Macaca mulatta: one gene and its partner. The protein of the gene in region 1 interacts with the protein of each later gene in a pairwise test. Links are inferred from orthologs where the notes say so. Each region holds a gene or a part of one and is shown in the gene's direction. Other genes may lie near its edges.

Region 1 (4,358 bases):
CTTTTTGGAACAATGAAAGTGTTGTCATTTAAATAGTGGTGATAGTTGCCAGGGGCGGTGGCTCACGCCTGTAATCCCAGCACTTTGGGAGGTCAAGGCGGGTGGATCACAAAGCTCAGGAGTTCGAGACCAGCCTGGCCAATATGGTGAAACCCCGTCTCTACTAAAAATACAAAAAAATTAGCCAGGCATGGTGGTACATGCCTGTAATCCCAGCTCCTTGGGAGGCTGAGGCAGGAGAATTGCTTGAGTCTGGGAGGCAGCGGTTGCAGTGAGCTGAGATCGCGCACTGCACTCCAGCCTGGGTGACAGAGCGAGACTCTGTCTCAAAAAAATAAGAAAAATTAAAAATTAAAAAATAAATAAAAATTAAAAAAATAAATAGTAGTGATAGTCGCACATCTAAAACCCATTGAATTCTATACCTAAAGGGGTCAATTGTATGATACGTGAATATAGTTGTTATTGAAGTATGTATAGTTGACGCTTGAACAGCACAAGGGTTAGAGGTACTGACCAACCCCCTCCAATGGAGTTGAAAATCCGGATCTGGCTTCTGACTTGACTACTGGCATACTGTTGATCAAAATCCTTACTGATGACATGACCAGTTGATTAACGTGTTATATAGCATATTCTTACAATAAAGTAAGCTAGAGAAAAGAAAATGTTAAGACAATCATAAGGAAGATAAAATATACTTACTATTCATTAAGTAGATAGATCATATTCAGTAGATCATCATAAAGGTCTTCATCCTCATCATCTTCGCGTTGAGTAGGCTGAGGGGTTGGTCTTGCTGTCTCAGGTGGCAGAAAAAATATGGGTATAAGTGAACCCATGTTGTTCAAGGTTCAACTGTATGTAGATGCATTTGCTTCCATGAGCATAAATAATCTCTGAAATTATACATATTTGTTGCTTATAGAAAGGAGAGCTGGATTCCTATGCAGGTAGTCATGGGAGGGAGATTTTTACTAAATATCCTTTTGTGTTTATCAAACTTTGTACCTTGTCATCGTATTACATGTTTTTCAAATAAATAAAAGTTATATAATGAAGTATTAATAGCTTATCTTCTCTCTTGATTTTACTATATCCAGGTCCTTCAAGGGTTAGATTATCTACACAGTAAGTGCAAGATCATTCATACTGACATAAAGCCAGAAAACATCTTGATGTGTGTGGATGATGCCTATGTGAGAAGAATGGCAGCTGAGGCCACTGAGTGGCAGAAAGCAGGTGCTCCTCCTCCTTCAGGGTCTGCAGGTGAGGGAGCTGAGCTAGCTTCATTTCAGTTTGGGGGCGTTGTGAGCTTGCAAAGTTGCAGTTGTTGAAGGTATCTGAATCAAATGTTACATATAAGGAACTTTTTGGAAAAGTTTAATTGCTGGAAATAACTGCACCCTTTTCTTGAAATGGAAAATACCCCAGCTACATTATATTTTAATGTTAAAATTATTTACTTTTGTCCCCCTTTAAAAGGCCATTTAAATTTGTAGTTGCTGCTTCATCTATATTTGAACATTTTTTTCTGTTGCCCACTTCTCTGCAGAGGAGAACATAGTAACAGCTTTCCTGTAGCTGACCTTTAGTCATCAGAATATTTTTCTAGCTTCAGTTTTGTTACAGTAATTCCTGTTGTCCATTTAGCATAGCTATGTCAATCTGAGTTTTATCAACAGATTTGGAGTTAGTTTAGAAAAGGCCTGATGGTGGGGGAAGAAGACCAAGTGACCTGAGTATTGGGATATTTTTACTTCTGGGCTGGGGTCGGGGTGGTGGTGCAGTGAAGTGTGGACTGTGTTTCTCACTCTTCGACACCGTGGTCTGTGCCTTTGTGTGTTGTCATGCAAGCATGTATACTAAAGGGCTGAGGCTCCTGGGACTGCCTGGGGCTCTCTTCACATCTCCTTTACTGCCATCAGGGTGTTGTTTAGATCATGGACCCAGCCTGTCAAACTTTTGGCCCTGGTGTAGGGGTTTAATCATGTGATTCCCAGACTGTTTGCTGCATACCAACTGCAATATTTGATTTAAATTGTAGAAAGCTTGCAAAATAGATTTCAAATATAGATGTACATCTAATCTAAATTGTTCATTTCATTATATTTTAAACAAATTTGGTTTAATGACTGTGATATGTATGAATTCTTTCCCATTTTCTTATCTGTTGGTGCTTTGGGCTTGACTGTTTTTGAGATGTATTAGTATTTCATTTTAGATAAATAAGAGAAATGGCTCAGTGTGAGCAACTTCTGCTATGCCTTCAAGAGTCACTCATTTGTTTCAGTGCATAAACTTTCTCTAGATTCCTGTGATTAAGAAGCTCTGATTAATAGTTTTTGAAGTTGGATAGCCATTAAAAGACAATAATTATTTCACTTTGCAATTCGAATGACCTACGTGAAGGTATGTGTCTGTTTTCTGCTAAATGTCGATTTTGTTTCATTTTGTTTTAGTGAGTACGGCTCCACAGCAGAAACCTGTAAGTACTTACACATACTACTTTATATGCACCATGTCAAAAGAGACCATTTATTATTGAGTTGTTCAAATTATTAAAAAGTTGTGTATTTAAAGGGTGAACACATTTATAAAAGTTGTGTATCCTCAAATAGGTAAGACTTACTGTCTTGTTAATTTTTTTTTGTTTTTTTTTTTTTTTTTGATACTGAGTTTTGCTCTGCCACTCAGGCTGGAGTGCAGTGGTGCCATCTTGGCTCACTGCAACCTCCCCCTCCCGGGTTCAAACAATTCTTGTGCCTCAGCCTCCCAAGTAGCTGCGATTACAGTCACCCGCCACCACACCCAGCTAATTTTTGTATTTTTAGTAGAGATGGGGTTTCACCGTGTTGGCCAGACTGTTCTCGAACTCCTGACTTCAAGTGATCTGCCCACCTCGGCCTCCCAAAGTTCTGGGATTACAGGCGTGAGCTACCACATCCAGCCTGTCTTGTTAATTTTTCGTATCTTTGCAGAGTTGGGATAGTTAGAGCCTTTCAAAGATTGTCTTCTTTATGCATTTTCTGGACTGTCGTTGGCCAAGTTCAGTGAAATGTGAGGTGATGCAGTTGAAGTATTTTTATTTCAAAATCACTTTACATTATTTCTGATTGGCTGCTAAGTTACCTGTTTTTCTGAAGCTGTTGTTCTAATTTTTTTCCATCCAGATATTAAATAAGAAAGAGACTGATCTATTTTGTGGTCCCGTCAAAACTGTATGTCCTTGTTAGATACTGGGTGTGGTGGCTCATGCCTGTAATCCCAGCACTTTGGGAGGCCGAGGCCACTGAATCACTTGAGGTCAGGAATTCGAGACCAGCCTGGCCTACATGGTGAAACCCCATCTCTACCAAAAATGCAAAGACTAGCCGAGTGTGCTGGTGGACACCAGTAATCCTAGCTACTGAGGAGGCTGAGGCAGAAGAATCGCTTGAGCCCAGGAGGTGGAGGTTGCAGTGAGCCGAGATCCATGCCACTGCACTCCAGTCTGGGCGACAGAGCGAGACTCCGTGTCAATAATAATAATATCATCATCATCATCAGCTGGGTGTGATGGCGTGCACCTGTACTCCTAGCTACCTGAGGGGGTGAGACATGAGAATCACTTGAACTCGGGAAGTGGAGGTTGCAGTGAGCTGAGATCACACCACTGCACTCCAGCCTGGGCAACAGAACGAGACTCAGTCTCAAAGAAAAAATAAACCAAAAACAAAACAACAGCAAAACACTATGTTTACTGAGACAGCCCTTGATTTGGAATGTAAGTTCTGGAACAAGAGGAAGCTGTAATAATTACGCTTCCTGGCCTGCTGAGACGCCCGGATTGTTTCCCATAGTTTTTCCCTGGCTTGAGCTGCCTGAGTTCACTGATTGTTTGAAAGGTTGGAGTCTTTCATTGCCAGTGCTTGGCAAGTCGGGTGGCCATGATGGGAGGCAGACAAAAGCTGTGGCTTTTTCTTTTTTCCCTTTGCTGAATAGGCTTATCTCTTAGAATTCATGTTGTCTTGGCTGCTAAGAGCTTCATATGTGAGCCCCAGACACACAGTGACATACACCTGCTCAGGCACCTGCTTCATTTTTGGCATTGAGGAGGTGGGATGTTGTTACTTTGTATATAGACAGCAGCAAATAAAACTTGCAAGAGGAGCTTCTCCTTTAAGGCCAAGAGAATTTCAAACTTCAGTTCTCTTAGGGTTTGAATGGTGAAGACTTACTGGATTTAAGCTCTATCCCTTTGAGGGTAGGACCTGGTGGTAGACCCAGCACGTGAGATCAGTCAGCACTGCTTTCCCTTTGATTTTACTGTAAGCCTTACCACAAAGTAGATCTGTCTGGGTTTGGGATTTTAGTAG
Region 2 (4,996 bases), on another chromosome or scaffold:
ACTTTATTGATTTTGGTATTGTCTGAGGGTTTTTTAAACCATAAATAATGTATTAATTTTAAAAATGCTTTTAAAATCAGCATTTTCAATAGTTAACGGTCTATGCTTCATCAACGTTTTCCGTTTAAAACCTGTGTGCGGCCCATACACGTATGACATTCTGTTTATGTGATTCACTGCTGAAAAAGAACTGGACGCCAGGAAATTAGGGGTTGAGCCCGAGGCAAGGTGGACGCCGGACAACGAGACACGGAATCCTAGACCGGCCCGGAAGTGCCTCTGCTAGTCCGCCTTCGAGGAGGGGTGGGCATCTTCCCCGCCCGACCATTGTTCGTGCAGCGCGCCTAGCAACCCCGGGCCGGTAACCCCCTCTCCGTCCTCGCGCGTTCCGGGTCTCGTGAGTTGGCTGTGGGGGCCGGGAATGGAGGAGTGTTGGGGAGGGTGGGGCTGGGAAAGGGGTGTGGAAAGTGAACCTCAGCCTCTGGGAAGTGGGAGACGGAGGAGGGGGCGGCGGTCAGTGCCGGCCGGCTTCAGGCGTCCCCTAGACCAGGGTGGTCATCCCCAGCTGTGGGGACATTGTACAAGAAAGGGTTGTAGGAGGACTGCGAGGCGAAAGGGTCACCTCGGTGAATAACGACAACAGGCTTAGGACTCAGGGAAAGAAACCCCCGGGAGAGGAAGTTAAGGACAGTTAAGACTTTGGCAGCCTTCAAGATGGAGAGTCCGTATACCCTCTCACCTCTAGATTCTAAAAGCAAATTAACGGGCGTTGAATGGACTGGTTTCAAAGTGCAGAATGTGACAGTTCCCGATTTCCTTAGTTCTTTGATTCTCAAACCTTATAATACATACAAATCACTGAGGAGCCCGTTAAAGGTGCATATTCTGGGGCTCCCTGTACTTCTCTCCACCTCCCAATTCAGATTCCCCAGATGTCTGCCACAGAGCCTGTCAAGCTGCAGTTAAGCTGCTGAGCTGTGCTTTCTGACATTTTGGAGACCCACATTTTGGGAACACCCCCGGGGTTTCAGGCGCTGCCCGGGTCTCTGGAGAAAACTTCTCCCTTGGGCTTCTTTGGCTTCTTAGGCTTCTTAGGATTGTCCTCACAAAGAAGTTGACCTTGGGCAATCTACTTAACTTTCCCTGGCTTCCATTTCTTATCTAATGAAATAATTATTACAATAAAACCTCAGTGGGTAATTGTGAGGATGAAATATGGTCTTGTATCTGAAAGCATATTGTAGACTTGTGCAATGTTGACTGTTACTCTTAAGTAGCAGCAGGGCGGTGTGGAAAGCTCCAGGGCTTGGAATCCACCCAAGCCTTTCTTTCTGTAAATTTAGTGTAAATAATACCAACTTTAAATGGTTGTTTTGAAGATTAATTTAAGAAAACTGAAGTAAACAGTAAAGTAAATGTTGGTTCATTCATTTAGTCGACAGTAATAGTATTTCCATTTATTCTTTCTCTAATTTGATGTTTATACAGTGAGCTCAAACTTTTTATTCAGACTTTCTGAGTGATCTGTGCAGTCCCTAATTCATGGGCTGTTTTCCTCCACGAACTCTGTAAAGTATTATTGCTATTTCTTTTTCACATAAAGAAACAAAGACTGAAAGAAGATTTAAAAACTTGGCACAAGGTCACACAATTAGTAAATGTTAGGATCAGAATAAAACCTAGGTCTGGGTCAGGTGTGGTGGCTGACACCTGTAATCCCAGCACTTTGGGAAGCCAAGGTGGGAGGATCGCTTAAACCCAGGAGTTTGAGGTTGCAGTGAGCTGTGATTATGCCACTGCACTCCAGCCTGGGAAACAGAGTGAAATTCCCCATTTTTAAAAAAGAAAGAAAGAAAGAAAACCCATATCTGGGTAACTTAAAAGCCTATACTCTTTGCACATTATGAATATATATATATTTCCATTATTTCCATCCCAAATCACTTTTCAGAGGAGAGCTTTAGGGCCTATGATAAATGCTTATATTATCAGTTTCTGTCATCAGTTATTGTCATTTTTCCATATAAATAATTTATTTTTACTGCTTAGGCAGGCGCCTCCAAGGTTTGTCTTGAAGCATAGCTGCAGTTGGAGGGTACCTTTTAAGCTGTTCAAGGTCAAGATGAATACAAACTCAAAGGAGATTTTATCCCTGGGTGTTCAAGTTCCCCAGGCATGGGAAGAACTTCTGACAATGAAAGTGGAAGCAAAAAGTCACCTCCAAAGGCAGGAATCCAGACTGAAACGCAATAATCCACTGGCAAGGGAAATCTTCCGAAGGCACTTTCGACAGCTGTGCTACCAAGAGACCCCTGGACCAAGGGAGGCTCTTACCCGACTCCAGGAACTTTGCTACCAGTGGTTGAGGCCACATGTGAGCACAAAGGAGCAGATTTTGGATCTGCTGGTGCTGGAGCAGTTTCTGTCCATCCTGCCCAAGGAGCTCCAGGGCTGGGTGAGGGAACACTGTCCAGAGAGTGGAGAAGAGGCTGTAATTTTGCTGGAGGATCTGGAGAGAGAGCTCGATGAACCACAACATGAGGTAGAAGGGAGATTTGCTAGAGAAAAAAGTGTATTTTGGCATGCCAAGAATCCTTGTATCCTCTGCTTTGTGTCTCCTTGACATTGGTGACAAAATACTCTCCTTCCTGTTTCCTTCTTTTTTGGAAGTGTTTATTTCAGATAGTTAATTTCTTCAAAAGTCAAATCTTGTCTTTTTGTCTCCAGATGGTAACCCACAGACACAGACAAGAAGTCCTCTCTAAAGAGATGGTGCCTCTAGCAGAGCAGACACCACTGAGCCTTCAGTCCCAGCCCACACGTGACTCTGCTCTGAAGTGCCATTCTATTGGAGAGACAGGTGAGGGACAGCATTTATTTGATGTTGAACGAATCTCACCTGGTCAAGCAAAAACAAACAATAAACCCAGAGCTGGGAAAACAGGAGATCCAAAGACTCCTTACCAGATAGCAGCAATGTTCAGTGCTTCTTAGACCCTAGTGTGCTCATCTTTGACCCTTCTCCCTGTGTGCAGACTTCTCTCTGAGTACCATCCTGGAAGCTCTCTGGACTTCTGATGCATGATACATGAGGAAGGCTTTCAGGGATCGCTGTGGAGCACAGCTTCAGAGAATGGACTTCAAGGTTTGACAGACAGGTTCAGATCCTGGCATCGCCTCATGGAAGCTGCTTGTATTGGGCAGATTACTTAACCACTTGACCTCAGATCCCTCTTCTACAAAATGGGGTTGATAATAGCTTTGGTTTAGTCTACTTGCGCTGCCTTAAGAGAATACCACAGACTGGTTGTCTTTAACAGAAATTTATTTTCTCACATTTCTGAAGGCTAGTAGTCCAAGATCAAGATGCTATCAGGTTTGGTTTCTGGTGAGGCCTCTTCCTGGCTTATAGATGGCCATCTTCTTGCTGTATCCTCACATGGCCTTTCTTTGTGTGCATACAGAGAGAGAGGAAGCTCTCTCATCTTCTTATAAGGACAGATACCATTCCTACCAGATAGAGCCCTACCTTATAACCTCATTTAACTTTTAGTACCTCCCTCAAGACCCTATCTTCAACTATAATCATATTGAGGGTTAGGACCTCAACATATGTGAGGGAATACAATTTAGTCCATAACCAGTATATACCTCAGAAAGTCATTGTGAGCATCAAATACAAACAATTTCTGAAAAGCACCTGGCATGCATTATGCTTAATACATGGTCGCTATTGCCACAAATCACCACTGCCACCCTTGCTGATTTGGGTTCATAGTTGCAGTAGAAAGATATGAGATATGCTTAGTAAGTGGCAGACTGTATGAGAGAATCCAGTGAAATCAGACTTTACCATTTCCTTCTCTGTAATCTTCTGAATGGTGGCAGTGGCCACCCTTGTGGATATAGATCTGAGCACTTGGGACTGAGTCAGCTGCTTCCCCATTCTAGCCCTCCCTGCAGGAATTATCTCCAGCTTGTCTGATTTCCCACACACAAAATCATACCCTCTTACTGACTTTTTGTTAATCTTCTGACAATCAATCTGTAGCAAGGTTCTGCTGTTTTCAGTTTCGTATTACCCCCATATGTATCAAAGCTGCAAATTCCCTTGCCTCTTTGTCTCTAGCTTCTATTTATTTCATTTACCCTAGCAATTATGGATTTCTGTTACATGGAACACATCTCTCAATTTAAATTAAAGTGTATGTGTTGAGTAAATTCTGTGCAGACCTTCCTGTAGCTCCCATGACTTGATCAGATTAAAATTGCTTCTGATATCATTTTTCCTCTTTATGAGCATCTTTCCAGTCAATTAATTTCTTTCTTCTTCCTCTCTCTATGAACTTGGACCTTTTATTTTCTAGCCACTTCTTTTCTTCTACCTTCCAAACTGCATCTAGAACCCTGCTGAGAACCCCCTTTTCCAAGAAGCACATCTACATTTTCCATCTGTCCACTCATCTATCCATCTATCATTCAGCAAGTGTTTATTAAGCATCTACTATGGCTGTAGGAGAGTATCCAGAGGGCATCTAGAGATTGTAGAGTTCTCCTTGTAGAATATCAGTGCAGGTATGTGTTACAAATTTAGGTAAAGCCAATATTATAAAACAACATAGTGTTTGAAATTACAAGGACCAAATTCAAGTTCCAGCTTTTCAAATTCTTAGTCAAGCAGTATTTAATAGGTAAGTTTGAGTTTCTTTTTAAGTAATGCTGATTATTTAAAAATCCAAATAATACAAAAGTTTATATAGTAAAAAATGAAAGTTCTGCACATCCTACCTACTCCCTAGAGGTAACTACTCTTGTCACTTTGCTGCATATTTTCCAGATGTTTCTCTCTATAGTCTGTTTACCCATATATAGGTATCTTGCCATATTTTTCTATAGTTCTTTAAAGAGATGAGATAATAACATCAAGGAGTTTTGTGGTGAGTCAGTTTGATAATATATTTGAAAGTGCTTCATAAGTCATGAAAGTTATATAAAT

What was found.
Region 2: the proteins of SRPK2 (region 1) and ZSCAN9 interact in binary tests that used the Homo sapiens proteins (3 or more experiments, as listed by UniProt). The two-hybrid records come from large-scale screens. The link is inferred for Macaca mulatta from reciprocal best matches to the Homo sapiens genes SRPK2 and ZSCAN9.

What each region holds. Positions count from the first base shown.
Region 1 is NC_133408.1:144,729,199-144,733,556, reverse strand, and holds part of SRPK2 (SRSF protein kinase 2), read left to right. Parts: intron 1-1,103; coding exon 1,104-1,269; intron 1,270-2,462; coding exon 2,463-2,488; intron 2,489-4,358. UniProt on the Homo sapiens protein: Serine/arginine-rich protein-specific kinase which specifically phosphorylates its substrates at serine residues located in regions rich in arginine/serine dipeptides, known as RS domains and is involved in the phosphorylation of SR splicing factors and the regulation of splicing.
Region 2 is NC_133409.1:155,135,613-155,140,608, reverse strand, and holds the start of ZSCAN9 (zinc finger and SCAN domain-containing protein 9), read left to right. Parts: upstream 1-1,770; 5' UTR 1,771-1,903; coding exon 1,904-2,542; intron 2,543-2,727; coding exon 2,728-2,860; intron 2,861-4,996. UniProt on the Homo sapiens protein: May be involved in transcriptional regulation.